4 linked regions of the Diceros bicornis minor genome follow. The main gene of each other region encodes a partner of the protein of the gene in region 2 in a complex. Links are inferred from orthologs where the notes say so. Each region holds a gene or a part of one and is shown on either strand. Other genes may lie near its edges.

What was found.
Region 1: the proteins of SFN (region 2) and ANPEP are in contact, whole or in part, in a crystal structure (PDB 7AEW), measured with the Homo sapiens proteins. The link is inferred for Diceros bicornis minor from reciprocal best matches to the Homo sapiens genes SFN and ANPEP. Residues at the interface, in NP_006133.1 of Homo sapiens: Asn42, Ser45, Val46, Lys49, Arg56, Lys122, Arg129, Tyr130, Gly171, Leu174, Asn175, Val178, Glu182, Leu222, Asn226, Leu229, Trp230; in NP_001141.2 of Homo sapiens: Ala60, Ser61, Ala62, Thr63, Thr64, Leu65, Asp66.
Region 3: the proteins of SFN (region 2) and NOTCH4 are in contact, whole or in part, in a crystal structure (PDB 7OR3), measured with the Homo sapiens proteins. The link is inferred for Diceros bicornis minor from reciprocal best matches to the Homo sapiens genes SFN and NOTCH4. Residues at the interface, in NP_006133.1 of Homo sapiens: Lys49, Arg56, Arg60, Lys122, Arg129, Tyr130, Glu133, Gly171, Leu174, Asn175, Val178, Glu182, Leu218, Gln221, Leu222, Asp225, Asn226, Leu229, Trp230; in NP_004548.3 of Homo sapiens: Arg1914, Arg1915, Phe1916, Ser1917, Ala1918, Gly1919, Arg1921.
Region 4: the proteins of SFN (region 2) and AMOT are in contact, whole or in part, in a crystal structure (PDB 7NPB), measured with the Homo sapiens proteins. The link is inferred for Diceros bicornis minor from reciprocal best matches to the Homo sapiens genes SFN and AMOT. Residues at the interface, in NP_006133.1 of Homo sapiens: Val46, Lys49, Asn50, Arg56, Arg60, Lys122, Arg129, Tyr130, Gly171, Leu174, Asn175, Val178, Tyr181, Glu182, Asp215, Leu222, Asp225, Asn226, Leu229, Trp230; in NP_001106962.1 of Homo sapiens: Val171, Arg172, Ser173, Leu174, Ser175, Glu176, Arg177, Leu178, Met179.

Annotation. Positions count from the first base shown.
Region 1 is NC_080744.1:93,474,555-93,481,401, forward strand, and holds the start of ANPEP (aminopeptidase N), read right to left. Parts: upstream 3,012-6,847; 5' UTR 2,366-3,011; coding exon 1,758-2,365; intron 1,352-1,757; coding exon 1,209-1,351; intron 1,093-1,208; coding exon 953-1,092; intron 554-952; coding exon 427-553; intron 343-426; coding exon 188-342; intron 1-187. UniProt on the Homo sapiens protein: Broad specificity aminopeptidase which plays a role in the final digestion of peptides generated from hydrolysis of proteins by gastric and pancreatic proteases.
Region 2 is NC_080752.1:42,625,630-42,632,060, reverse strand, and holds SFN (14-3-3 protein sigma), read right to left. Parts: upstream 1,852-6,431; 5' UTR 1,764-1,851; coding exon 1,017-1,763; 3' UTR 516-1,016; downstream 1-515. UniProt on the Homo sapiens protein: Adapter protein implicated in the regulation of a large spectrum of both general and specialized signaling pathways. Binds to a large number of partners, usually by recognition of a phosphoserine or phosphothreonine motif.
Region 3 is NC_080753.1:32,672,607-32,679,730, reverse strand, and holds the start of NOTCH4 (neurogenic locus notch homolog protein 4), read right to left. Parts: upstream 3,001-7,124; 5' UTR 2,897-3,000; coding exon 2,833-2,896; intron 2,037-2,832; coding exon 1,955-2,036; intron 1,764-1,954; coding exon 1,471-1,763; intron 1-1,470. UniProt on the Homo sapiens protein: Functions as a receptor for membrane-bound ligands Jagged1, Jagged2 and Delta1 to regulate cell-fate determination.
Region 4 is NC_080781.1:104,579,364-104,586,806, forward strand, and holds the start of AMOT (angiomotin), read right to left. Parts: upstream 3,004-7,443; 5' UTR 2,614-3,003; intron 1-2,613.

The sequences.
Region 1 (6,847 bases), on a different chromosome or scaffold from region 2:
GTCATTAACAGTACCCAGGGCCACCATTCCCGGGCTGGGGACTTCACCGACATCATGGTGACTGCTACCCTGCCAGGTGGGACCCTCCTCCCTTCTCAGCTGCCAAGCGCAGAGCCAGGACTTGTGCAATCTCCTCCCAGGGCCCTCTGTGTCTTTCTCTGGACTCCCCCCACGATGGGGCGGCTACCTGGTGCGCCAGCTCATGAGCAATCACAGTGACCACTCGCTCCTTGTTGCTGATGGAGGAGGACAGCAGGTCGAACAGCAGAGCACTCTCCCGGTAGGTCACCAGCCCCCAGTTCTCCATGGCGCCGGCGTTGAAGTCGGGCAAGGCGACCTGGTCTGGGGATACCAGCCATTGGCAGGATGGCCTCTAGCTATGGAGCCCCACCCACTGCCCCTCACCGCACAAGGCCCCTCACTCACCGGATTTGTCAAGTGGGTAGGATGTATTATAATGTGAGGCGAAGAAGTTCAGGATGGGGCCTGTCACGTTCAGGGCATAATCGCCATGGCCCTCCGCAATTGCACTAGGCCGAGCCCAGATCCGGATCTGCAAAGAGGATGGAGGTAGGTCAGGGGTCCCTCTAGGCTCCTGGTGCAGATGGGCTGAGCCCCAGGGCCCAGCAGGCTGGTAGGGGGAGCAACTAGGTTAAACCCAGAGGCCTGGTCAGCAGAAGAGAGAGCTGGGGGTCTCTGAGGGGCTTCGAGTCATAGGGAGGAGCCTTTGGGGAATAACAGTAGTCATAGCCACCATGTGTCTGGCACCCAGGAGTTGGGAACTCCCTTCAGGAGGTGGGACCCATTTTTCAGATGCAGAGACTGAGGGTCAGAGAACTTAAGACGCATGCCCAAGATCACTCAGAGCTGGGATTCAGGGATGAGGATCAACAGGAATACCCCTCAGGCCAGGACCAATCCCAGGGAAGGACTGGCGGGCCCAGCTCCGTACCAGGACGTCATTGGGTGACCTCGAGTCCACATACGAGAACTCGCACACGATGAAGGCCAGCAGATACGTGGACATTACGGGCGTGCTTTCAAACTCGGTAATGTTCCAGTCAGGGTCTTCCGAAAAGGAGACACTAGGACCTGGGCATGGAGCATCCAAGTATGTGGGGATGTACCCCGCCTCCCCCCGCATCCTGCACTCCAGCCCCAGGTCCCGGCCTCCCCAGGCTGTGTGGCCCCAGGACAGACTCGCTCACTTTTGGGCAGCATGTTGGACAGGGCTGTGAGGTCTTTGGGGTGGATGAGGGTGATGTTAAACTGGGCCTTCATGGATGGCTCGTCGAAGCACGGGAAGGATTTCCGGGCATCTGCAGCCTGCATCTGTGTCGTGGCCAGCACCCTGCCCAAACCAGGGTGTTAGGGGCTGTGCCGGCAGAATGCTTGCACCCCAGGGGGGTGGGCAGGCTGGGAGTTTTAGGGTGTTGCTGGGCATGCAGAGGAAGGGGTGCACGGAAGGCCTAACTCTGCCCTCCCCACCTCCCCTGGGCAGCCTCATGCCCTGACACGCCCGCTGGCTATGGGGGATCAGAGCTCCTCTGGATTCAGGGTCAAAGTCCTGGCAGGCTCTATCCCCGTATTAGCTGGAAGACAAATTTCTCTCCTCTGAGCCTGCAGATGGAATGGCCAGCCAAGGGCTCCAGAAAGTTCAAAGGTCTCGAATCTAAGCCTTTCCTTGACCCTCAGGCTCCGGCTCTGCTTCAGCGTCTGGGATCCACCCCCACCGAGCAGATCCAGCTCCAACTCACTTTTTGACGTTGCCTTCTGTGTACTCGCTGCGGTAGAAGCCTGCCAGGTCATCGGCCAGCTCCCCCTCAAACTCACTGTCCATCTCGTACAGGCTGCCCTCCGCCAGCGTGCCCTTGAGGTGCACCACCAGGTACTGGGTGAGCTCCACCAGCTCAGTTCTGTCGATCTCAGGGGGCTGGGCGTCGCCCACGCCGCGCAGGACCACCATGTGCCCCTGAGTGAGGGTGTAGTTGAGCTGCTTGCTGTGGATGATGATGACGTCGGTGGCCTCCTTGCAGGTGAAGCGGACAGTGCTTGTGCCCTGGAAGACGTACAGGCCCTGCTCGTTGGGGGTGAGGTAGGGCCTCAGCTTCACCCTGTAGGACTCGGGCACCAGTGTCGTGGGTAGGCGGTATTGGTTCCATGGCTCACTTTGGTCCAAGGTGGTGGCTGCAGTGGTGGTGGGACTGGTAGTGTGGCTCGTGGTGGCTGCAGCGGAGCTGCCAGCATTCTTATTCTTCTCCTGGGAGTACACCACCGACAGAGCAATGATGGTGCACACGGCTGCCACGCCCAGGACGACGCCCAGGATGCCCAGGGTCTTGGAAATGTAGAAGCCCTTGGCCATGGTGAGGGTGGGGAGGGAGCTTGGGGAGGTTCAGGACAGGTAGGGAACGGGGCAGCCTTGGGCCAGGCTTATATCCCCGAGGGGAGGAGCCCCACAGCCTGAAGACTGGGCAAAAATTAACCAGGGCTCAGACAGGCGAAGGTCACTGGACTGGGCAGGGGAACACTCCACCCAGGCTGGGGAGAGGAGACCCAGGAACAGTGTGCGGAGTGAGGCTCAGGGAGCCTGCTGGGAGCAAACAGCGTCTGGTTACAGGCTGCCGGCTGCCTAGGAGTCTGCCCGAGGGCTGAAGGGCAGGGAGCAGGCTGCGGGCCCAGCAGGTAGAGGGAGCAGCCAGGTGGCGTTGATCTGCCTGCGAGCTGAGACAGTGGGGACAGAAGCAGGAAGATCAAGGTTAGAGTCAGGGAAGGACTTCTCAGGAGCAAGAGGTGAAAGATGCAGAGAAGGGAAGGGTTGTTTTCTGGTTTGGGTCAAGAACACGCTGGGTCACCCCGTGGCTGGATTCTGGAAGGACGCCTGGGGCTCCTAGGCGACGCGGTCCCAGCCTCCCGTGCACTCTTCCAGAGCAGGGGGTCCTCCCAGGGTCCCTCCCTTCCCCTTCTTGACAGAAACTGTTTGCTCAATTATCAGCTCACTGAATAGAATCATAGAATCAAAGAAGTTGTTTTGCCTTTTTTTTTTTTTTTTTAAGAGAGGAGGCTGGTGGAGGATTAACCTCTTCCCAGCCGTGACCTTGGGCAGGTAACTTTACCTTTCTGCAACCTCTTTCCTCGTAAATAAACAATCGTGTTTACCTCTGGGGTGTGTTGAAAAGATTTACTGAGAAGACATATTAAATACCACACAGTAGAAACTAAACATCATCCCTTGCTCACAGTGCAACCGCTGCCTCTTTTCCTCTCCTTGGTAGAAATGAAGATATTACTTATCACACTCAATAAAATACATTCGTACAGGAAAACGATGTTCATTGTCACCCTTCCCATCCACCAGCTCAGTTTCCTAGACCTTGACACAGCCTGACCCTCACCCCACATCCAACTCCCCCATCCCCTGATCTCGCCATGTCCTTGGTCAAAGCCCCTCCACTGTTTATGTGGACACTGCTGTACCCTCATCAACACCCCCCTCCACTCGCGCCCCCTCAAAACTATTCACCACACAACCAGGATCATTTTGACCACCGCTTAAAACCTTCCTTTTGCTCGTAGAATCCAGACCAAATATTCTAAAAGGACCCACAAGTTCAGGTGCTATCAGCCCGCCCACTTCCCAGCCTCATTTTCACCACGCTCCCCTCTGTCACGGTACCCCAGCCACTCTGGCCTTCATCCAGTCATTCCATCACAGGACCTTTGCACCTGCTGTTCCCTCTGCCTGGATCATCTTCTCTCCCTTCTTGCCCTAGTTAATTCCTATTCATCCTTCAAGTCTTTCTCAGAGAGGAGGCCTCGACCTCCCTGACCAGGTCATTAGCTCCATCAGCACCACAAACCTCTTCTTCAAAGCCCAATAACTCAGCGTAATTTTCCATTTGGTCTGTGTGGTGATGACTTGAGTCCTGACTGTCTCCCCACCAACTGCAGGCCCCAGAAAAGCAGGTCCTCAGCTGTATCTGCTCACCAGCACTTGGCACAGGACCTGGCACCCAGTAGGTGCTCAATACATATCTGTTGAGTGAACGCACACACGGGTGAATGGGTGAATGATAAATGAATGAGTCCGTTCAGGAGTCACTTCTCATTGAAGTCTTTCTAGCCCACCTCCGCCCCTGTCCCCGCCCCCACTCTTGCCCTGGGAGAACTGTCTGCCCGCTTCTCTGAGCCCTCCTCCAACCCCTGCAGACAGGTAGGACTCCTGTTAGGGGCAGCTGCATCTCAGGGCTCACATCTGACCGCTCCATCAGCTTGTCAGCTGTGAAGGACCTCGTTCATCTGCTGCTCCCTGCCCCAGCTTGGGCCTGCCATCCTGAGCCTGTGTGAGGGCTTGGTGAATGAACACAGGCATGAACTGAGCGGATGCACAGATTAATTCATTCAGGCACAGCTGCAAGAGGGAAAGACGGCCGCCTGTCCTCCAGCCAGGGAGGCCAGGGCCTGAGTGCGTGCCTCAGGGCAATCCTGGGTGCCCATCCTTCAGACTGAGGGTGCTCTGAGCCCTTGGCATTTCCCTCCTTCTCTCTAGAAACCCGCCACGGGGCCCCGGTCTGGGCAGCACGGACTTCCCGGGCTGACGGCCAAGGGGCACCAGCAGGAAGCCGAGTGCGCGGGAGAGGGCTCCAGCCTGGGCACAGTGAGAGGGAACGGTGGCACCCAAGGTGCCGTAGCACGTGCTCCCAGTCTCCCTCCGTCAAGGCCAGAATTTGCCAAGGGAGGCCATCTTTACGGTGCCCTGTAGGCTGGCACCCAGGGCCATGCGCCCCCTGCACCGAGTTTCGCTCGGTCCCTGACTGGCCTGCAGCCCCTCCTGTCTCTGCAGCAGGAAGATCCACAAGCCCGCTTGGCCTAATCCCTTCTCCAAACAAAGAAAGAGGCCCTGCCTGCCCACTGTGGTCTCTTCCTGTTTGCTTTGGACACAGACCACGGGCCCAGCTGGCTGGAATCTTTACTCTTTTGGAAAAGGCCTCTGGTCTTCGAAGTCAGGGCAGCAGGCAGCCCACTGCCCTGTAAGGAGAGGTCGCTGTTCCGGGCACCATGCCAGCCCAGGCCGGGGGCACAGAGAGGGCATGTTCTGCAGTCCCCATCTTCTGTAACACTGCAAAGGGTCCCCTCCTCCAGCCCCTGCCGTGGCCCAGGCCTGGCCATCTTCACACCCCACTGGGCAGTGGTGACAGCGCTGTCCTCCCCTGTCACCCAAGCTCACCACACCCCTTGGCAGAGGGATCTTCCTCTGCTGCTCTAACCTGGGTCTCTAGCTCCTCACTGCCAGCTTCCTCACTGTGGAACGAAACCTCAGCTCTGGCTTGAGCCTGAAAACCTCTGCGTACTTGACCCTCTGGCTCCAGCTGCCGGCATTTCCCCAGACCCTCTGGGCTTTTTCACGCCTCTGTGCCTTTACTCACCTTGTTTTCACTGCCACCTTTCCTTTTCCTCCTGTTAAACTCCTACTCATTCTTCAAAACCCAGCTCAAATGTCACTGCCTTCTCATACATGGCAGCCCTCTCCCCTCTGTGCTCCCTTGGCCTCTTGTTTATACCTCTGACACGGCACTTATGAAAAGTCCATCCACGTGTTCAAAAGCCTGCCACCAGGCCTAGGTGCCTAGAGGGAAGGCTCTGCGACTTTGCATACCCCTCCATGACTAGCACAGGGCAGGAACGCAATGAATGTTGGCTAAATGAATGACAGCATCCACCATCTTTCCCATTGCTTATAGATCCAGCCCAATCTAGCCCCAGTGATTCTGATCTCATCTCAAGCCCTCTCCCTCTGTCGCCCTCTGTGCTCTGCCCCACTGGCCTCTTTAGGTTCCTCAAGCCCACCATGCTCTTCCCTCTTCCAGCCCTCCCCACCCCCAAGCTGCTCCTTGGGGCTGGAAAGCTTCTGTCTCTCCCTCACCTACCACCCACTCGTCCTGGAGGCTCACTTCCCAGGACAACCCTCCCAGTGCCCCCAAGACTCTGCGCCATGGGGATAGCACCCTCCACACCAGGCAAGGACCTAGTACACAGCAGGGGGGCAACACACGCTTGTGGGATGGACGCGTCAGTAAAAAGATGACAGACAGCAGGTAAAGATGGGATTCAGCGCAATTCAGACTCTTTCCTCGGGACAGGTTTCCCCTCCATACCTCACCTTCTTGGGCTCCCAGACTGTACACACAAACCACCTTTGTGAGTTTTGCCATCTCTGTGATCCTGCTGTACATTATTCACTTAATATTTTTCTTTAAAGCAATTCACCGCTTACTCTCCTTCTGAGCAAAAATGACCATGAAATTTTGGTTGGATGTGTTGTTATATTTCTTCCAACACACATTTCAATTCATGACTGTCGATTTAAAAGCTAGGGCTGGGCCAGTGGCGTAGCAGTTAAGTTTGTGCATTCTGCTTCGGCGGCCTGGGGTTCTCTGGTTCGGATCCTGGCACGGACCTACTTACCGCTCATCAAGCCTCGCTGAGGTGGTGTTCCACAAAGAAGAACTAGAAGGACCTACAACTAGATATACAACTATGTACTGGGGCTTTGGGAAGAAAAAAGACAGAAAAGAGGAAGATTGGCAACAGATGTTAGCTCAGGGCCAATCTTCCTCAAAAAATAAATAAATAAATAAAATGAAAAATAAATAAAAGCTGTTCATCTAGGTGGCCCCTAAAATCATCGTATAGCTGCCTCACTTTGGGAATCACTCTCCATCCTGAATGGTTGGGGACGGTGTCACATTCAGACTGTCTCAGGGGTGGGACCTTTCTGCAGGTGAGCAAAATGTGTGCGTTCCTTTTACTGTTCACCTCATGATGGGGGAGAAACCAAGCACCTGCA
Region 2 (6,431 bases):
TCCGAACGCTGGGGGGGCGTTCCCCTCCTCAGATCTGGGCTTTTAATGGCGGCTTCATACCCCCGCCGCAGAGCCTACTCCCCTCCGCTCGGATCTGAGCACCTGACGGGACTATTCCCGGCTTTCAATTCTGGGGTGCTCACTGCTGCTCACTACAGCGTGTCCGTGCGGCCCTGCCCTCAGACCTCACACCTGAGACTTCATTGGTTTCCTGTCCCCTCAGATCTGAGCTCTTCAGCTTTCCGCCCAGCTCGGAGGAGACTTAGAGCCGCTTTGGGCCTCACCCGACCCTCCCGGGACCAGACCAGTCGGCTTGAGACCATCCTGATGGAGAGAGCTTGACCCCCAACCTCTCACCTGGAGTCCCTGGCCCCTGAGTCTTACCTGCGGGTCACTGAGCCAACCTCATGGGAGGTCAGGGCCCTGAATCAGAGGTCCAAAGTCAGGGTTTGTAAATCATACACCAATCCCAGTCCCAGTCCCAGTCCTCTGCCAATAACTGGAAAAGACAGGAGGAGTGTCACAGGGGAACTTTATTGAAAGGAAACATGGTCATACCCAGCAGACATGCTTTCCCTCTCATTCTCAGTCTCGCTCTCACACACAGTCACACACGCACACACCCATGTCCAGCCTCTGCCACACAGTCCAGTTCTCAGCCACAAGGGTGGGACACTCCTCAATTCCTAAGATCCAGACGCGGCAGGAGCAGGAGGGAGTCAAGAGGCGGGAAGAAGTGGCCCGGTTCACGGGTGGAGGTCTCGAGGAAGGGGGTGCAGAGAGCAGAGGTGGGTGGGATGCCCAGTGGTTAGGAGCACCCCACAGCTGCAAGAAGAGTGGGGTCCTCTGGCTCCAGGTGACCTCAGCTCTGCTGAGCCCTCTCTATGGAGCCTTTCTGAGCTGGAGCAGAGCATTTGGGGAGAAGGGTTGGGCCTCCCACCCCATACTAGTCCTCTCTGCAGGGGGGTGGGGGACTGGAGAGGGCAGGGCAGGGCCGGGAGGGTTGCAGGCTTGGCTCAGCTCTGGGGCTCCTCGGGAGCCTCGCCGCCCTCTTCCCCAGCGTTGTCGGCCGTCCACAGTGTCAGGTTGTCTCGCAGCAGCTGCATGATGAGGGTGCTGTCTTTGTAGGAGTCCTCGCTGAGGGTGTGCAGGTCAGCCATGGCCTCGTCGAAGGTGGTCTTGGCCAGTGAGATGGCCTCCTCAGGGCTGTTGGCGATCTCGTAGTGGAAGACAGAAAAGTTCAGGGCCAGGCCCAGACGGATGGGGTTGGTGGGCGGCATCTCCTTCTTGCTGATGTCCATGGCCTCCTGGTAGGCCGACCGGGCTGAGTCAATGATGCGCTTCTTGTTGTCACCGGTGGCCACCTCGGCCAGGTAGCGGTAGTAGTCGCCCTTCATTTTCAGGTAGAAGACCCGGCTTTCAGCATCACCGGCCTTCTTGATGAGGTGGGTGTCCAGCAGGCTCAGCACGGTGTCACACACGCCCCGGAGCTCGGTCTCCACCTTCTCCCGGTACTCTCGCACCTCCGGGCCCTTCTCTTCCGAGCCCTCCTCATTGCCTTTCTGCTCGATACTGGACAGGACTCTCCAGGCAGCCCTCTGGCCACCCACCACATTCTTGTAGGCCACTGAGAGCAGGTTTCGCTCTTCGCAGGATAGCTCCTCACCCTTTTCCACGGCGCTCTTCATGAAGGCTGCCATGTCCTCATAGCGTTCGGCCTGCTCTGCCAACTTGGCCTTCTGGATCAGACTGGCTCTCTGCATGGCTCTGGGGACAGACAGACAGGCGGCGGGCTAACTGGCTGCCTCGGGACCAATGCCGGACTCTGTGCCTCTCTTGCTCTCTGCCTGCCTTTTGGCTGGATGGCCTGGCCCACAGAAGGGTGGGGAGGGGCAGAGGGCGGGACTGGGGCCCAGGACCTGCCTCCCTCGCCTCTTCTCCCCACACCCTTTCCGGCTCTTCCTTAAAGGTAAAAGGGCTGGGATGTGGGGGTGAGTCATCAGGACAGTCAGCAGGAGAAATCTGGGCGTTGGCCCCACCTGCACAGGCACCTTTCCAGGCTCCAGGCTGCCCCCTCTTGTTCAGGGCTTCTATTACATGGGTGCCCACGTTAGGCAGCTGCGCCAGTTTCTCAAATCAGATCCTCCTTCACGGTGTCCTTCCAGGGGCTAAGGATGGCTTCAGCCACCTGGCTGCTTCAGCCTAGGCAGAGCCCATAAAGCCAGGTGCAGGAGGATGGGTTCCTAATCCTGCCATGTACGTTTCCCTGCTTGGTCCAGGTGAGCTAATTTATGTTTAGGCAGGGCTGTACAGTTTCCCAAGCACTTTCGTATCCATGATCTAATTTAATCCCTACTACATCCCTGTGAGGTGGGCTGGACTGTGGCTACTACCCCCACTTTAGAGATGGGAATACTAAGGCTCAGAGAGGGATGAGATTTGCTCAAGGTCATACAGCTAAAGTTCCCCTGCATCCTACTTCCTTTGGTCTCTCTCCCATCGAGGTCTCTGATTTGTGAGCTCCAGGCTGGATTTAGAAGTGAAATCCAAGCTTCTTCAGAGTCTACCTAAAATGGTTCCATCCCCCAGTCCTTACTCCCCCTCAGGGTCCTGTCCCTTCTGAGCTCCCAGACTGCGCAGGTGGCAGCTTCTGGGTGCCACTTAATGAGGAGTTTAACGAGCGGCCTCTGACGCTCCAGCCCAGCCTTTGTAATTAGTCACCCAGTAGGTTTGTTGGACACCTTCCCCATCGCAGCACAGCACAATTTTCCCTTTCAAGTTGGTGGCCTGTTGCCACTTGTTTGAGGACTTATCCTCTAGCTCTCCACGCCTGGTCACCTGCCCGCTTCAAGCTGCCTGCCATCATGTATCAGTGGGGCTCACAGAGGGTGGGGGCCCGGCTTGCTGGCTGTCCCACTTTCCTGCCTGACTCAGCCGGCCCTCTGTCAGAGGCTGAAAGCAGGCCACCTGGGTGCTCAGCCCAGTTTGGTTCCCCAGGGGGGACACGAGCAACCTGAGGAGAAAGACAGGACTGAGGAAAAGGAGGTGGCGGTGACACATACCATTTTGTTTTATGGGGCAGCAGTCCCAGCTGAGTGCTGTCTCCTACGGCCTGCCTCTCACAAGTTTCCCTGTCCCTTCCCTTTGACCATGACCCCACCTCTGACCCCTGGCAGAGGCCTCAGAGATGGAAACTTCTCTGTTGCCAACCATCTGTCCCTGATCGCTGGGGCGCTGTCCTCCTGTCAGCGGAGTTTCACCCGAAGGTGGTGGTACTGCACCTATGAGAGTGGGTTCCTGCTTATCTGCCCCACCCCTAGCCAAAGCTCAGATGGGGCTCAGGGGTGGGGCTCACCTCACTGGATCCAGCCAGCTTAATCCTGGAGCCAGGACCATTTCACAGGCCTGTCCCTCCCTGGGTTGCTCTTGGTGTCTGAACACCCACCCTCCCCTCCTGGAGGGAGGCTTAGGCCAGAACTCAGGCCCAAAGATGAGATCTGCCTCTTTGAAGGAAAAGTAGGGACATTTCTGGGCTGATGCTACAGCTTTTCCAAGGAAGCAGAAGGGATTTTAGGCTTGACACCCCAAAGGCTTTGCTCAAATCAGATCACTGTCACAGAAAATGATGGAAAGGAAGTACACTAAAATAACCAACTCACAGAGCATATTTCCACATAGTGAGACTATGATTTTTTTTTCCTTTTGATTTTCCTATTCTCTTCAAGTTATCAAGGGTGAATATGTATTATTTTTCTGAGAGACAAAATAGCCAAGTATCTTTGGAGTCAGATTGCCTGGGTTCAATTCTTACAAGTTCTTGTGGCCTTGGCCAAGTGACTTAAGCTCTGTGAGTCTCAGTTTTCTTAAGTGTAAAATAGGGCTTGTTGTGAGGATTAAATAAGTTGATGGAAAGCACTTAGAGTGGATGGGAACTATTATTATCATGTGAAAAAAATCCAACCAACTTTACTGGTTTAAACACATGCACTCAGAGCACTAACATGGAGCTGGGTAGGCCTCAGCCAAAGCCCAGACCCTGCCCAGCTGGGTTTCCACAGGGGCGAGAAGATGAATGAACAGTCAGATGCGCTCACTCAGCACTGTCTCCTCCCTGTCTCTCAGACATTCCTCTGACCTATGCAGGCCCAGGGCCCTCAAGGACCTTCCTTTGTACTAGTCACCCAGCCCAGGCTTTCCCAAGTCCTGGGAGAAAGCTGGAGATCCCAGGATACCAGAAACCTAGAGGGCAGGGTCTGGCAGGCCCAGGAATTTTGGAGTTGCTTCTGTCTCTAGGTTGCATTCTCTTCCTACCACTCAAGGCAGGAGACCTGGTGGTAGTTCACGCCACGAGCTCCATGCCCTCAGCACAGCCCTGAGCAACAGAAAAGAAGCCCCTTCCCTCCGCTCTCTCCCCTGCAGAAGCTCAGGGGTGAATCTGGGAGCCAGGCTGCCTGACACCTCCTACCAGCTCTGGCCTGTCGATCCTGACTCAGTTCCTGTCTCAGGCACCTCCCTTTGCCTCCAGGCCTCCATTTCCCAAGCCCAGGAGACCAGGCAGGCAGGAGGCAGCAGGCCCTGGCAGGGCACAGAGTTCCAGAGTCAGCTGCCTGAGTCAGCAGGACAGGAGCTGGGGCTGCAGCCCACAGGGGCTTTCCTTATCCTGCCTGCGACCTCCCTACCCTTCTCTATAACATCCATCCTACCAGGAAGCGCAAGGCCTCTGGTCCCATAGACAACCAATCTGTCGTTTTTTTTTTTTTTGAGGACGATTGGCCCTGTGCTACCATCTGTTGCCAATCTTCCTCTTTTTCTTTTTTTCTCCCCAAAGCCCCAGTACATAGTTGTATATCATAGTTGTGGAGTTGTAGCTCTTCTATACGGGACACCGCCTCAACATGGCTTGATGAGCAGTGAGTAGGTCCACGCCCAGGATCAGAACCAGCGAACCCCAGGCCACCAAAGCAGAATGCAAGAACTTAACTGCTATGCCACTGGGCCGGCCCCCAACCAATCCTTCTTGACTGGTAATAACAGGCTTAGAATGGTTGTGGCACAGAGAAGACAGCAACCAGTTGCTATCTATCTCCCCTGAGAACAGAGGACAGGGCTCTGACTGTAGCAGCAGGGACTCTGGTTAGATTCCAGAAAGAACTTCCTAGGAAATTTTTCAGTCTTGGAATGATCAAATTAAACAGGTGACTGGAGGAAGCTATGGCACCTTCTCCCCCTGGTTAGTTGTGAACAAGGGTTCAATTATCCAGCTAAGAGCTCACTCTACTAATTACCTTTGGGAGGGGATATTAGACTACTTTTAAGTGATTCAGCTATCCTGAGTCTTATTCCCCTCAAGGCACTGCTGTTTTGAGTATCCTACATCTCCTAGACCAGTCTGGTCTAGGACATATTGTGGAATTTTTGGAAAGAGAATGGAATGTCAGGCTGAGACTGCATGGCAGCTCTGTTATCAGGCCTTGGGCAGGTCCCTTCCTGCTTCTGGGCCTCAGTTTCCCATCACTACAACAAGGAGGCTAGCACAGATCTTGTCTAAGCCCCTGCTGCCTATGAAGGACATTCTCTAACCTTAGGGTTTCTCCCTCTGAGAGCCCCTCGTCCTGAAGCAGCTGTATTCATTCCTTGGGTAATGCAGAAGGGTCAGAGGCCAGGGCAGAGATCAGGTTCAAATCCTGCTGCTCTCTCGGCTGGGAGACCTGGAGCAATTCCTGCGCCCTCCTTGAGCCTCAGTTCCCTCATCTGTAAAAAGGCTGACATCACCTTCCTCACAGGTTTAGGTGAGAAAATGGGCCTGGCACTTGGCCAGACCTTGCTAAATGGCCACTATGATGATTTTTTAGCTCTTAGCACTCTGCGTATCTCCATGTGCGGTGGCAGCCGGGGAGAGGGAAGGTTTCCATGAGATTGTTACCCTGGGCTGGGCTCAGTTCAGGGGTGTGACAGTCCTAGCCTGGAGTTAAACCCTCTCTCCCAGCCTGGGCTGGGACCTGAGAGAGTTCAGAGGTCAGCTAAGGCCTGAAGGTCTCTGGAACTGAGACCAGTTCTGGAGGGGCAGAGTGAAGAGGACGCTGGCCACTCCTCCTGTGTCACCTCTGGCTTTGTCATGCATCTTTTTTTTAAATCTTCAGAACAGCACTGACCAGCTGGAACAAAGCTGGCAGTGAGGGTGAGCCAGATGTTCTTCTGCACCCTCATCACAGGCCCCACCCCTGGGCCCAAAGTAAAGGTGGCACCAGACAGCCAAGGGTATGGCAAGAAGAGGGAAATCTTTATTTTGGTTAAAAAAGGTACAGGACAGCAGACAAGCACCCCCAGTCGTGGGCTCAGTGGAGGTTCCTAGGCCCGACCCGGTTTCCTTTAGTTCCTCTGAAGAACACAGGGCTGTCAGAGCTCCCTCAGTGCTCGGAGCACAGAGTACA
Region 3 (7,124 bases), on a different chromosome or scaffold from region 2:
TTGGGAGGGTTATATCTGGAGTAACCATATTTTCCAAACTGAAAATAGGACATGTAGCTGTTGGTGGGAGTACGGCAAATGGGCCCTGCCTGGAAAAATCTGGGACACAGGGTCCCTTCTGTGGTGACCTTGGTGGGGGGTGAAAAGCATCCGATCTCTGTAGGCGGGAGACTTAGTTAGCATCTTGCTGTGCCACAACTGGTTGTGTGCCCTTGGGCAGTGGTCTGGCCTCTCTCATCCTGATTTCCTGATCTTTAGGTGGATGTCATGGTCCGGATAATGATAAGGAGACTCACTTCACCACCGTGTGCACCAGTGGGAAAGGCACTAGTAGGAAGGGCAGTAGCGGTGGCGAGGGGCGCCGCCACCATTTGCTACACACAAGCTGTGTATCAGGGACTGAGCTAAGTGAGCACTTCCTGAGCATCACCCCCTGCCCTCCTCTCAACAGCCGTATGAAGTGTGGATGTCAACTGACAACCGGGGACCCAGAGAGCTTAAATATGTTATGCAAGGTCACATGTCTAGTCAGTGGCAGAGCTGGCACTGGAGTCAGGGAGGAGGCTGCCCCAGGGCCCCTACTCTGAAGCACAAGGCCTGGAAAGTTGCCATTGCCCATCCTTCTTCTTGTCACACACACTCTCTCACACGCAGTCTCAGGCCTGGTTACCTCAGAATTACCTGGCAGTTAAAAAAGTCTCCATGTCCTTAGCCCACCCCAGACCCACTAAATCAGAGTCTCTGAGATGGAGGCACCAGTATTTTTAAGGCTTTCCAGGTGATGGCTGTGCCTAGGCAAGTTTGAGAAGCCTCACAGAGGCACCCACATTCCAAGCACTTTCTTACCCATGTGGCTGTCTAGTCCAGCCCTCTCCATCCTGGTCCGGTCCTATCGAGCCTTCCTCTCCAGGGCCTCACTGCATCCCTGACCGCTTCCTCAGGGTAGCATGCCCTGCCCATCACATGTCCTGATCTCTTGTCCCAGGGCTGAACCCCTCCTCCTGAGATGGGCACCCTTTCTTCTCTTTGGGTCAGATCCCTCCCCCCATCACATCTGCCAGCACCGCAGTCTTCCCAGGTGATATTATGGGCTCCTAGCACTCAAAACAGAGGCCATTCAGATGCTCAGAATGTAGAGACCCCTGGTGTGCCAGGCATTAACTCCCTAGCTACTGGGTGGCAAGGAGTTTGAGGGGCTGGGAAAGGGGTCAGGGCGGTATACTAAGGAGGCTATGGCAGTAGCAATTTACCAACTGGTTTGGAAATACTCTAACATTTTAACAATCAGTACAACCATGCTGGTGAACGTCAGTCCTGGGTAGATGGGTCGCCAAGGATCAGCTTCTTGATTCTCATGGCTTCTGTCCTCAAAGGGTCTCAGTCTCACAGGCTCCAGTTTCATCTTTCCTAACCCACAGCCCAGCGTATTGCTCCTGCCTGTCCCCTCCTCCTCACCCCTTCAGTGCTCACCTGTCCACCCAGGCTGGCAGAAGCACTGTGGGAGGCCTGAGGCCTGGATGTGGCAGCGGCCCATTTTGGAACAGAAGGAAGAACAGGGGTCCTTGAGCTGGGCCTGGCACCTCTCGCCAGTGAAGCCAAAGGGGCAGGTGCAGAAGAAGCTGGGGGCCGAGGGAGAGGGAGCGCTGGGGGAGCCTGGGAGGGTGGGAAGCAGGGCTTTGCAGCTGCCCCCATTCTGGCAGAGCTGAGCATCCTGGCAGGGGTCGGGAAACTCGCATGTCTCACCCAGGAAGCCAGGCGCACACCTGGGCAGGGGAGGAGAGAGGAAAACTCACATCACTGGCTCCACTTCGCCTTTTCTCCCACCTCCCTCCTTTGCCTTCATTTGTTTCCCTTCATCTTTGCCACCTCCTCCCTTTTTCCTTTCTTCCCATTTCCTCCCCTGGCCTCCCTCCCCCTTTCTCTCCAGTCTCCTACTCCCATGAGGCACACTCACTGGCAGGTCCCTTGCCCCTGAAATAGGCTCAGGCAGGTGCCTCCGTTGGCACAGGGTTCTGGGAAACTCCCACACTGCAGCCCTAGGGGTGGAGATGGGGATGAGATGGGAGCAGGGAGCATTGTGCTCCACCTTCACTCCTCTGGGTGCTCTGGAGGGACCTGCTTGCAGCAGCCCCACACACGTGCTCCAAACCACCATCGCTCCACACCCTTCTTCCTAGTCCCCACGTGGCGCTCACACCCCAGGCCCTAGATCCCAGGCCTCTCAGTTACTGATCCCCACCCCTCTTTCCTGTTTATTCTCTGGCCTCCCAAGTCCAGCCTCAGGCTCCATCCCTCGGAAGCAAGACAACAAGGATTAGGAGGGGGGCTGAGGAGACTCCTGGGAGTTGACTGGCTGAGAAATTGAAGGGATTTCCTCTCGGAAGGGCCCAGCATTGAGCCGTCTGGGGGGTGGGGACAGCTGGACCAGGAAAGGGACTTGGTGGGCTGTTGACCTTCCCTTGTCTCCATTTCCTGCTCCCCTCTCACCTCTTCCCCTAGCAGGTGGTCAGTCTTTTTCCTCTTCCCCTCCTAAACGTGATTGCAAGAGCCTGCTGTCCCCCAGCTCCAGGCCCACTGGGTTCTCCCTGGAGGTGGGCACCCTCTTGCCCATCCCCCCAACAGTCACCACCCCTGGCACCAGGCCCAAAACCTTGGTTTGTGCAACTCCAGCAGCAGAGCCGTCTCTTCCTGCAGGCTGTCTCCATTTGGGGGATGAGAATCTCCTCCATCCAGTGTTGCCTCAAAACATGGAACTTGGCCCTCTGCCCCCAAACCACTGGACATCCTCCTGGGGAAGTTGGGTCTCCCCACCTCTCCCACCCCATGCCTCACCTCTTGCCTTGGCGACTGAGCGACACAGCAACAGAAGCAGCAGCAGCAGTGAAGGGGGCTGCATTCCCGAGCCCCTGCCCCTAGCCCAGATCTTCTCTGCCTCCTCATGCAGGGACCCTCAGAGCCCTCACTGAGGCAGGAGCCTCCTCCTCTGCTCCCACGGCCCCTTCTTCCTCCTCCTCGGCCTGCTGCAAGCCTCACGTCTGAGCTGTTTCCTGAGTCACACAATGTCCTGGACACCCTAGTAATGGGGGGAGGAGTGGAGGAACATTGAGGGGGATGAGGGAGGGGCTTTCTGTCCCTGACAACCCCTGGGGAGGTGGGGGGGGAGTAGCACAGTGTGGCTGGAGGGCAGGTGATAGGAGGGGAGAACTGGGCTGGTGGGGGCTCTGGGGACAGTCTCAGCCCTTCTGCTTGTTGATGTGGTCTCTCCTTTCTAGACAAGGGAATTGCAAGGTGGCTGCCCCATACCCCAGGAGGGTCAGGACCTGGAAACAGAGGTGTGGGGTGACGAGAGACTTCCTATTCCTCTTCCCAGGAGAGGATGCTTGTTTTGTGAGGTCAGTACAGACGCTTCTTAGAGAATCTGCAACTTTCCCTAAATTGAAACCACTGATCTTGGCAGAGGGAACCCAGGGGACTTCTGGGCTTTGCCTTGGCCCTTGCTGGGGACTTAGTTTTCTCCTTTTAGGGAATGGGTAAGACGCTGGGCTGGTTTTGGGGGAAATCTTGGCCTTCTCTCTGAGGGGAATGTATATGATCATCATCAATGATAAATGAACATTGTCTACACTGAACTTTGCAGTCTGGATGATCTGTAGCAAACACTGCATTTGGGTAGGTTGTCCTCCCCGCATGTCTCCCTCCCTCCACCGCAGAGGTCCCTGAGATGCAAGGAATGCCAGTCATTGAATTCAAAACTGGAGTAAATAAAATCACAAAAGAGAATTCATTGCCCTGACTCATCCTACCTTCTTGAGTGAAGCCAGGACAGCTCTGGGGTCAGCCTCACACTGAGTTCCTCTAGTAGCACAGACAACTGAGAGTCCAGGGTGGCTGGAGGTGTCAGCAGCAGCTGTGCACAGCCCCAGCATTGACGCACCCACAGCCACAGCCTGGTGTATCCTGAGCACCTTCCCCTGCCGACAAATATACTTTGCCAGCACCATTCTTTTTTGTATTTTATTTTTATTTTTAAACTTTTTATTTCGAAATAATTTTAGACTCACAGAAAAGGGGCAAGAACACTAAAAATAATCCCAGGATACTCTTCACTCCGATTCACCAATTGATATCATTTGACCACATTTGCTTCATCATTATTTCTCTAAATACACATTCGTATTTTTTTCTGAACCATTTGAGAGTAAATTGCACATAAGACGTCCCTTTATTGGTAAACATATCAGTGTGAATTTCTTGAGAACAAGAACTTTTTTTTTTTTTGCTGAGGAAGATTAGCCCTGAGCTAACATCTGTTGCCAATCTTCCTCTTTTTTTTGTTGCTTGAGGAAGATTAGCCCTGAGCTAACATCTGTGCCAATCTTCCTCCACTTTATATGCCTCAGCATGGCTGATGAATGGTGTAGGTCCATGCCTGGGATCTGAACCCTGCCAACCTCAGGCTGCTGAAGCAGAGTGGGCTGAACTGAAACCACTATGCCACGGGGCTGGCCCCAAGAACATTCTTTTACATAACCACAGTACAACTATCAAAATCAGGAAACTTAGATTGATACAATACTATTACCTAATCTACAGTCTATATTCAAAATTTGCCAATTGCCTCATAATGTCCTTTATAATGATTTTTTTTTCTTGGTCTAGGATCTAATCCAGGATCACACATTGCATTTAGTTGTCATGTTTTCAGTTTCCTTTAATAAGCTCCTTAGACTTACTTTGTCTTTCATTATATTGACATTTTTGAAGAATACAGGTCAGTTCTTTTGTAGACTATCCTAAATTTAGGTAGGTCTGATGTTTCTTCAGTTTATGCATTTTTGGCCAGGAATACCAGAGACGTGATGTTCTGTCCTTCTCAATGCATCATAGCAGGAGACACATGAGGCAACATCATTCTTCATGGTTGACTAGTATTCCACTGTATGGTGAACCCCAGTTAATTGAAACCAATTTCCTATTGTAGGGCATTTAGGTGGATCTCAATCTTTAAAAATATGATCAACTATGCTGCAATGAATATTCTCGAACATACATATTTACATGGTTGTCTAATTATTTCCTCGGGCTAAATTTTTAGAAGAGAAACCACTGAATCAAAGAGTCAAAGGATAGACTTATTCTTAAAGCTTTCGGCACCTTAGTGTTGCCAAGTCATTCTTCAGAGAGCAGTGCAGGACTTTACACTCCTGGCAGTAGTGTCTGCGCATGCCTTTACTCTCGTCAATCCTGGGAATTAGAATCCTTGCCTCCTTGATAGGTAAAATGGTATCTCATTGTTGTTTTAAATTGCGTTTTGTTGTAGGGTTAACATTATTTTCATCTGTTGAATGGCTATTCATGTTTCTTCTATCATGAGTTGCCTGTCCATGATTCTGTCCCATTGTCCTATTGGTGTCATTGTCATTTTCCTATCACCTTTCTTAGCTGAGGAGACAGCTGTGGGTGTAGAGATCTGGGCAGAAGAGACCTAGTGTGAAAAGTTCCTGCTTTTGCACTCTCTGGTTTGCTAACTGGGTGGGGGGATGAGAAGTGAAAGGAAAATAGAAAGAGATACCAGGCTGCTCGTGGAACCACGTTGACCTGAGAGGAAAGAACTAAACTCTCCATTTCTGCCATGTTCTTGACCTCACACTTTTTGTGGAAAAGGAGGCTGGGGCATTAGGCTAGAACTTGAGAGAAAGAAGAGGAAATGGTAATAGAGACAGAAAAGGAGTGATTGGGTGGAAGGGGAACCAGGAGTGCGGTGGGGCAGAAGCTAAGTTTAAAGACAGTGTCAGGAAGGTACACAGCCCGCTTCTTGCCTTCTCCCTGCCTAACAGAAGGCAGTGTGCACCTGCTCAGGCATTATGAGTTGTGCTTGGGCCCCATGCATTCCCTGGCCTCTAGGACCTTACAGCCCAAAAGAGTGCTGATGCTTCCCCAAGAGCTTGATTCTCTTTCCCAGTGGCTTCCCAATGGTTAATACTGATGAGGGTAGTACCATCATCACTATAGTGAGCTGCAGATGCTAGGGACACAAAAAGTTTTCTCTGGTGTAAAATGACCTCTTTCCTTGCAACATCCCATCAAATAGAGGTTTGGTTTACTCAACTGACTTTTCTTTCATTTTATATCTCCTGAGAAAGATAAACCTGTCAATCATTTACACTTTAGTCATGGAGACTTTTGACCTTAAGAAGATCCCTCTCTGAGCTGGGCCCTGATGATGTGACCAAACACAAAGAAGGTAATAGTCCATGGTAGATGTAGAAATACACAAGAATGACCCACCCTGAGAGATTATTTGTGAATATATAGTGCTTCCCTGCTGGTTACTCCTCATCTCTCCAACTTCTTACCACTGCAGTGTCCATGGCTCAATCCCTGGACCACTTCCATTTTTTATCTGTTGATAGGTGATCTCATCCAGTCTCATGGTTCCCACCAGATTTAAACGTTACCTATGGAGACTATCTTTGTGCTGATGACTCCCAAATTTGTGTTTCTAGATCTTAGAACTGCAAACTTGTACTTCCAGTGTCTAATGAATACCTGAAACTCAACACGTCCAGAACTGATTTGATCTTCCCCTCCAAACCTCTTCCTCCCTCCTGAAAGTATTGGGCTTTGCAATTCTATTCTTCAGTTGTTCAGGCTCCAATCTTTGGGGACATTGCTGACTCCTCACTTTTTCTCATATTCTACATCCAATCTGTCTTCAATCTGCTTGGCTCTACCTTCAAAATATAGCCAGAATCTGACCACATCTCATCTTTTCTCATCCCCACTGTTAATTCCCTAGTCCAAGCCACCATCATCTCTTGCATCGCCTAGCTTGCCTCCCTGCTGCTGTCCTTACTCCCCTCAGCAATTTCACCACATAGTGTCCACAGTGAGTCTGTTAAAATATGAGTTAGACCACGTCACTCCTCTGCTCAAAACTCTCCAATCATTTCTCCACTGACTCAGAGTAAAGCTAAATTTCTTACAGGGTCTACAAGGCCCCACACATCTGCCCCTCCCTCCTCTGCCCTGTTCACCTCTCTAACCCCATCTCCTATTACTCCTTCTCTCTATTGTGCCACACTGGCCTCCTCACTGTGCTTTAAACAGGCACTTTCACTTCT
Region 4 (7,443 bases), on a different chromosome or scaffold from region 2:
GGAAATCAATGGAGCACAATTCTAAACAAATTGGTTTAGGCCCAAGCTAATTAACTTGTCAAGCAGATCTCCAAACCCACTGAATCCATGGGGGAAAGAGGTGATGTAATAGAAGATTTGGGAACATTTACCCATTTACTATCCTAAAAGGCTCAGCCACGACCACACACACCTCTCTCCACCCCTTTCAGTGTGTTTAAGCTGGGCTTAATGGGTGCAAAGGACAATTTCTTCCAGACAGTCCCCAAGAATAGACTGTTCTCATGCATTCCAAATGCTCAGTCTCCATGGAGGAGGCTACCTGGTCACAAGCATTTCCCAAGAGGGACTATATCCTCTACTCCTCCTTGTTGGTAACACCCCCTCCCCAACAAAACAGAACAAGTTCTAACCATCCTGAGAACTTCAGGGGACTTTTTTGAGGGGGAAAGGAAAAGAAACCTTAAGAGGGGAGTAGGAGAGTGTGAGAAACTCCTCTTGTCTCCAAATGTAAAAAAGGCCTTAAAAAGCTGGATCAAAGGAAGAAAGGGGGATGGGGGAGAAGGGCTGCTTAATTACAAAGACACCCTTTTAAAGAAGGCGCAGGCCCTGGGAGAGGGCTCTTAGGAGAGGCATAGAAGCAGATGTACCCACTTAGAATTCTGGCACTCAATGGGACCTCAAGGTCATAGCATCCATCCCTCTGCTTTCTGAATAGACTGTTCTTAAGGCATTCTAGAAAGAGTCTGATCCGTTCTTTATAAAACTTCAGAAAAAGCAACTCCACAAAATGCCTTGGTTATGCACTAGTCTAATAACTCCTACTTCATAAACCAGCAATGAGATTTCAATTTCCAAATCCAAAACAGTATTGAATATGAATTTTAAAATTCCCTTCTAAAATATTTTAAATAAGTAAACAGATCCACAACTTTCACGTACAAGTTACTCTACACACGAGCATGGTCAGAGCTTTACTTCATATCGAGACTATGAAGTTAGAAAAAGCACTTTCAATTTTAAGGAGCCATAGACTTTTCCCAAGAAAGAAGTATCTTAAAATTAAGTATGATGTAGTGCCAGAAAGTGTTGGTAAATGACACCAGATAAATCCATACAGAATAGCTGGAACCTGAGTTATCATCTGTAAATAGATGCAACTACTCTACAACCACCTGGCTATTAAAATGTCCCAGGCCAGTTATAAAATGTAGTTTGGTCAGGACAACTTTTCCCTCCCAGCTGATCTGAAACACGATAGCCTTTAAAATTGTCACCCTGTAACGTTCCTTTTCTCCCTTTCTGCTTTCCTTTCCCCCATTAAAATCAATCAACAAACTTATTTAAAAATATAAGTAAATAATTTGTTTCCAAATAAGCAATGGATGGGGGACATCTTGGTAACAGGTCTTTGAACACCACTGTTCTTATAAGTTTGCCATGCTTGCCCAATTGGAGATAGGTGGGAGATGAGTGAAGATTTATCCCGAGTCCAAAATAGTGTTTCAAACTATTCTTAGCTACTAAATGAGGGTGCTGAAAGGTCTAACCAAGAAGGCTTCACAAAAGCTGGCCAAAGAAAGGACTTTTCACAAAGCCTAGTTCAAGGAGACTTAAATACCCTTAGCCCTCCATTATTGAAGATTATGGTGACTAATTCCTCTCTGAATGAGAGAAGAGAGTTACATTAAAAAAAAGTTTTCAACTGCCTCCCAACTTCTACTCTTCATGGGGGGAGGGGGAGAACTAAGTTGAACACTTCAAGGTGTCAGAAAATTCTAAAATACATGCTAAAGATTGGAAATGCTGTTTCTCACAAACTTTCCCTTTCCTCTCTCATTTAATTGTATTTAGTCCCTTGCTGCAAATTATTATTATATTATTATTAATGTCAATTTACCAGGGACTGCTCACAGTCTACAAAGACTGTCACTTTCCCTCTCTCACTTTGCCTTCTCTTCATTTTCATATATTGACAAGTTATCTTGCTGCTGAAGCACCTACATACAGTGACCCAGGCTTGGGACCCTCCAGACGTGTGCATGATCCCGCAAAACTAGTTATTAACATCTATAAACCAGAAAAGGGACAAATGCCTCCACATCACCACACACACACACACACACACACACAAACACACCACCAAAAAGAGTGTAACGCTGTAGATTACTCTCAGACTTTAAGACTTCAAGAATTCACGGGCCCCGGGGGAGGGGAGTGTGAGCCCCCACCCCAATCCTAAGCATTTAGGAGGAACGCATCTAGCAATTGGAGATAAGCAAGGACATTCCTGCTGAGCTAAATGTAGACCTCAAGTTCCCTCGGGTCTTTAATTCCTTTTGTGCTTAATTACCTAGAGATCTACAAGGACTCCAGGAGGGAAGATGTAAACGTACCATCAAGTAGTGGTACCCACTAGCATCTCCGTAGGACAGAAAAGGAGTACACACTCTTTAACCAATTTAACTTGCTGCACATCCCAGAAAACTCAAGACCAGCTGCAAAGAAAGTACAACACAGGGACATCCCCACACGCATCTAGATCGACTCACTCACGCCGAGGGCATGATCAAGTTCACGCCACCATGGATTCCTGCCCCAGTTCCCCGCGAAAAGTAACCACGCGTCTCCTACCCCTGAAGGCAACGAAGACAAGGTGACGACTCTCCGCTCGCTCAAGCGGCTTCGGGCCCGGGCCGGAGGCCAGGGATGGGCAGGGGAGAAGCCCCAACTCCCGGCTGCTCCCCTCCTCACTGCTCCGTCCGGGCTCTTCTTGGTGGCAGCGGACAGGCAGGATACCGGGCCGGAGGGTGGAGCAGCGGATGGTCGGAGGCGAGACAGACTGGAGGTGGGGGTGGAGGGGGAGGTGAGAACTAAGAGAAGATGAGGCGAAAGAGAGCAGAGATGGAGGAATAAATCAGGGGGTCTCCAGCTTGGGCAGCCAGAAAGCTCCTCGGAAGGAAGGGGCGTGACTGCGATGAAGGCAGCTCCTGGGCAAAGGATGGGAGGTAGGGGAGGGGGACGAATGGGTGGCTTTTCTTCTTGCGGTGAGCGGCTAGGACCGCCCAGGAGCGGGGAGAGGGGGTGGACTAGGGAGGGAGGCGGAGCTGAGGGCGGGGAAAGAAGGGAAGGAGCCTGCCTGGGCCCTGGGTAAGAGGGGGGATGGAAGAGAGGCGGGGCCAGGGGGCGTGGAAGTTTCAAACAATTGAGCGGCGGAGTGCGGTCGCTCGGACGAAAACGGGGGGACCTCGCTCTGGTCCTATTACTAACGTGGCACGACTCGGTTAAAGTAGCAATGAGAGTCTACGCAGGGACTGGCTAGGAGGAAGGGAAGGGTTTTGCAAAGACTACAAATAATAATCTATGGCAACAGCAGAGCGGAGGGAGAGCCAATGCAGCTCCCCGCCCCACAGCGGGAGGAAGAAAAACAAATAATAGAAATGCTGAAAAGCAGCTTCTAGCAAAGCCTGCTTAAAATAATGCAGGAAGGAGCAGCGCTCCTTGGTTTTCCTTCCCCTCTTGCTTCCTATTACCAGCAGGCCCCCACCCAGGTCATAGCTCTGCGAGACACCCTCCTTTCTTCCTCGGTTCCCCCTAGCCTCCCTCTTCCTCCCCCCTCCCCCCGCGTCCCCACCCCCCTCCCTGTGGCGGGCCGCGCTGGCGGCGGAGGTGGCGTGGGCGGGGCTCTGCGGAGCCTCCGCCTCTTGGGCGGGCTGGGGGGGGCCGGCCTGGGCGGAGCGGGCCTAGAAGAGTAAATCCCACCCATCTTTCTTTGGCAGCTACCAGTTGGCGAATCCTGGTCTAGGAATCGCTTGCGATTGGTCACGTGCGTCGTCGTTCGGCTCCTTTTGTTCCACCCGCCCTCAAAATTAATAAAACTAAACAAGAGGCTATTGTCTAGCTCTCCATTCTCCCCCAAGGTACTGCCGAGAAGAGAAAGATGAGACGCTCGGTTTTTTAGTCTCCTAAGAGTGCGACAGTGTGTCGGCTGGCTCCCGTACACCCTTATGGCACTATCCGGCCCTCTGAGAATAGGTAACTTTTCTTCCCCCCCTTAATTCATTAGGCCAGGAGGGGGAAGAAGTACGTAAAGTATCAATGTGGTGTTCACATTTCCTGGCTGCGAAAAATTGATACTGCTTAAGAACACAGAGGGTTGAGAACAGCATCCTGGGACACTGAAAATCTACCATTTTACATCTGGGAAACGAAAGCACAGAGAAACAGTGTAGGGGTAGCAGAGTAACATGAAATTTGGAGCTAAAGGAAGAACTCATTTCAGACTGGAGCACTTATCAGCTAGTTGTGAGACTTCTGTTGAGTCGCTTAACTTCTCTGAGCCTTAGTTTTCCTATCTGTAAATAAAGGCTATAAGCATGCCCTATTAACTTAATGACACTGGTATATGAAAATAAAATGAATTGTGTGTGAACACTCTGTGAACCACAAAGCACTCCACACATGTATGTGTTCCTACTTGTGTATGTCACATGGTGGAGAGTCTCATGTGTTTGAGAATCAAATATTCTCCTTATCTGTTTTAAGCATTTACATCCAAGGTGTATAGGTTTTGTGGCTTTAATAAGTCAACTCTTTTCCTACAGTTTTGGGGGTGGATATGAAGTTGGCTGCCTGCAGTTAGAAGAATAAATTACCCCTTTTCTAACCAGGGTGGGTGAGATTTCTTTTTTAAACAGTTCTGCAGTGGCGCCACAACCTAAATCTATTGTGGTGCTGGTACTGAAAGAGGAAATCGTGCTGTGTCTCCGAAGTGAACTTGAGAAAACAAATATGAGGGAACATTTACCATGGAAACCACCATTCTCTACAGATCCATATTTCCTAGAAAACGTTACAAGGAGGAAGCAAGTGTAAATGTAAAGGCCTTGACAAGGCAGAGCTATTATAATGAACTCAGGCCAATGAAAAAGTGACATTCAATTCAAGCCTGCTTAACAGGAGCCTTCTGAGGGTCCATGGATCAAGGCATGCAAGAGGAAGTGTGCTCAAAAGAAACACTATCTCAGCATGAACAGGGTCTCGGAATATAACCAGGTGCAGGAAAAGTAGTGGGCCACTGGCGTGTTGGGGGGTAGCCCCAATGTGCAGAGTGCTCTGCTGGGGCGGCTGAAAGATTCAGAAGCAGGAGCGTGGGCAAAATGGATTCTCGGAATGATTCAGCTTATGTGTGAGGTGAAGTTATTTGGGTGATTTTTCATGGGGAAGGTGAGATTTTTGAGTGTTAAAGACACGGAGACACTTGGTTTGTGAAGCAAGGGAAGATTATTCCAGCCTTGTTATTTGGAGGGGTGGACAGCAGAGCTAGATAGGATGGGTATAGGCTGCAGACTACTACTGATCACAATGGCAACATGATACTTGTTAAAATTAACAATGCTGTTAAAATGGAGAAAGTAAAATGTGCACAGGATAAAATTAAAACAGTACTGAAAGGAGCACAGTGAAGAGTTCCTCTCCATCACTCCGTTCTCGTAGTCCCTTTCTCCCTTTCTCTCTATGCCTGTACGCAATCTTCAAAATATATTATTTGCATACATGTATATATTCCATTTTTGCCCCTTACAAGTGGGATCATCAATCACAGCACACCTTGCTTTTCTTTACTCAACCATGTCTCTTAAATATCCTTCCATCTCAGGATAACTTCCTTTACCTCATTCTATTTCATGATAGCTCAGTGTTCCATTGCTTAGATGTGCCAAAATTCTTTTACTCATTCTCTTAGTGAAAGGTGATTTAGGCCATTTCCCATCTTTTGCCATTACAGAAGATGCTGGGAAACAAATCCTAGTAGCAAAGGCCCAGCGGCTGTGTTTGTAGAATGCTTGCCCCCAGCCTTGCAGTTGCCTTCAAAAGACTTTTCCAACCTGCCTTCCCCACAGCTACTAGGGCCTTCATACAGTGGAAACCCCTAAAACACTAATTCCTTTAATACCCCCTCCTCAAATCCTGCCTTGGTCACTACTGTTCTCCAAATTTGAATTTTGATAGAGTAGAGCGACCACAGCTCTGAATTTAATGGTGGACCAGGCTGCATGTGGGTCACTTAGCCTGTGGCAAACAACAGGTTTTTTGGTACCTCAGCTTTGCCCAGGTCTTCTAAGCGTCTTAGGTGTTCCTTCTCTCCTGCCACGCAAGACTTCCTTTTGTTTTTACCCTGAAAACCCTGCAGTTTGTTTAAACTGAGTTTGAATTTAAAGCTATGCTTTGCCAACTCTGCTTCAAAGGAAGGGGGAGGGGGAGGCCAACATCAACAAACATTGATAGAGCTGCTATTATGGACGGGACTGTAAAAACAAAGAGGGATGAGACTTGACTCCTGCCTTCAAGGGCATATACAGAAAAAGACAACTAACAAGCGCATGCTAAGTGCTAAATGAATGGGATTGACAGTAAAAGCCGTGGAAGTTGAGAGCAGGGAGTGAAAACTAGTTCCAGAGAGTGAGTTTATACAGCAAAGTATGCCACACACATTTAACTAATCCCCACAGCATCCCTGTGTCTTCATATCCTGACTGTAAAATATGGAGAAGCCTCTGGGGTATACCAGGAGAATTAACCACTAGCTGTAAAACACCTGTGTAAAGACACTGGGTTGCCTAAGTGCATTAAGAACCTCCCCAGGGGGCCGGCCTCATGGTTTAGCAGTTGAGTGCCCGCGCTCCTCTACTGGCGGCCCGGGTTCGGATCCTGGGTGCGCAGCGGCGCACCGCTTCTCCGGCCATGCTGAGGCCACGTCCCACATACAGCAACTAGAAGGATGTGCAACTATGACATACAACTACCTACTGGGGCCTTGGGGAGAAAAAGGGAAAAAAAGGAGGAGGATTGGCAATAGACATTAGCTCAGGGCTGGTCTTCCTCAGCAAAAAAAGAGGAGGATTAGCGTGGATGTTAGTTCAGGGCTGATCTTCCTCACAAAAAAAACAAAAAAGAACCTCCATATATTGATAATGGATATAATGATCATTTTAAGGTTAGAAGTCAAGAGTCTCCATCCTAAACTATCTGTCCTGTTTGGCTTTTTTTCAATAAAGTGCAATTCTTCCTTTAACATACAATAAAAATCAATGTCTGTGCTCTAAAAACAACAACAAAAAAGTCAATCAAAAAAATCAATGTCTCCCTTAAAAACATTATGCTAACTGAAAGAAGCCATTTGTCCACAAATGGACAAATATTGTATAATTCCACTTATATGAAATACCTAGAATAGGCAAATTCATAGAGACAGAAAGTAGCATAGTGATTATCAGGGCCTAAGGGGAGGGAGGAGTGGGGAATTTGTTTAATGAGCACACTTTCTGTTTCAGATGATAAAAAAGTTCTGGAAATAGATAGTGGTGATGGTTGTACAACATTTTGAATGTACTTAATGCCACTGAATTGTACGGTTAAAATGGTTAAAATAGTGAATTTTGTTATGTGTATTTTACCACAATA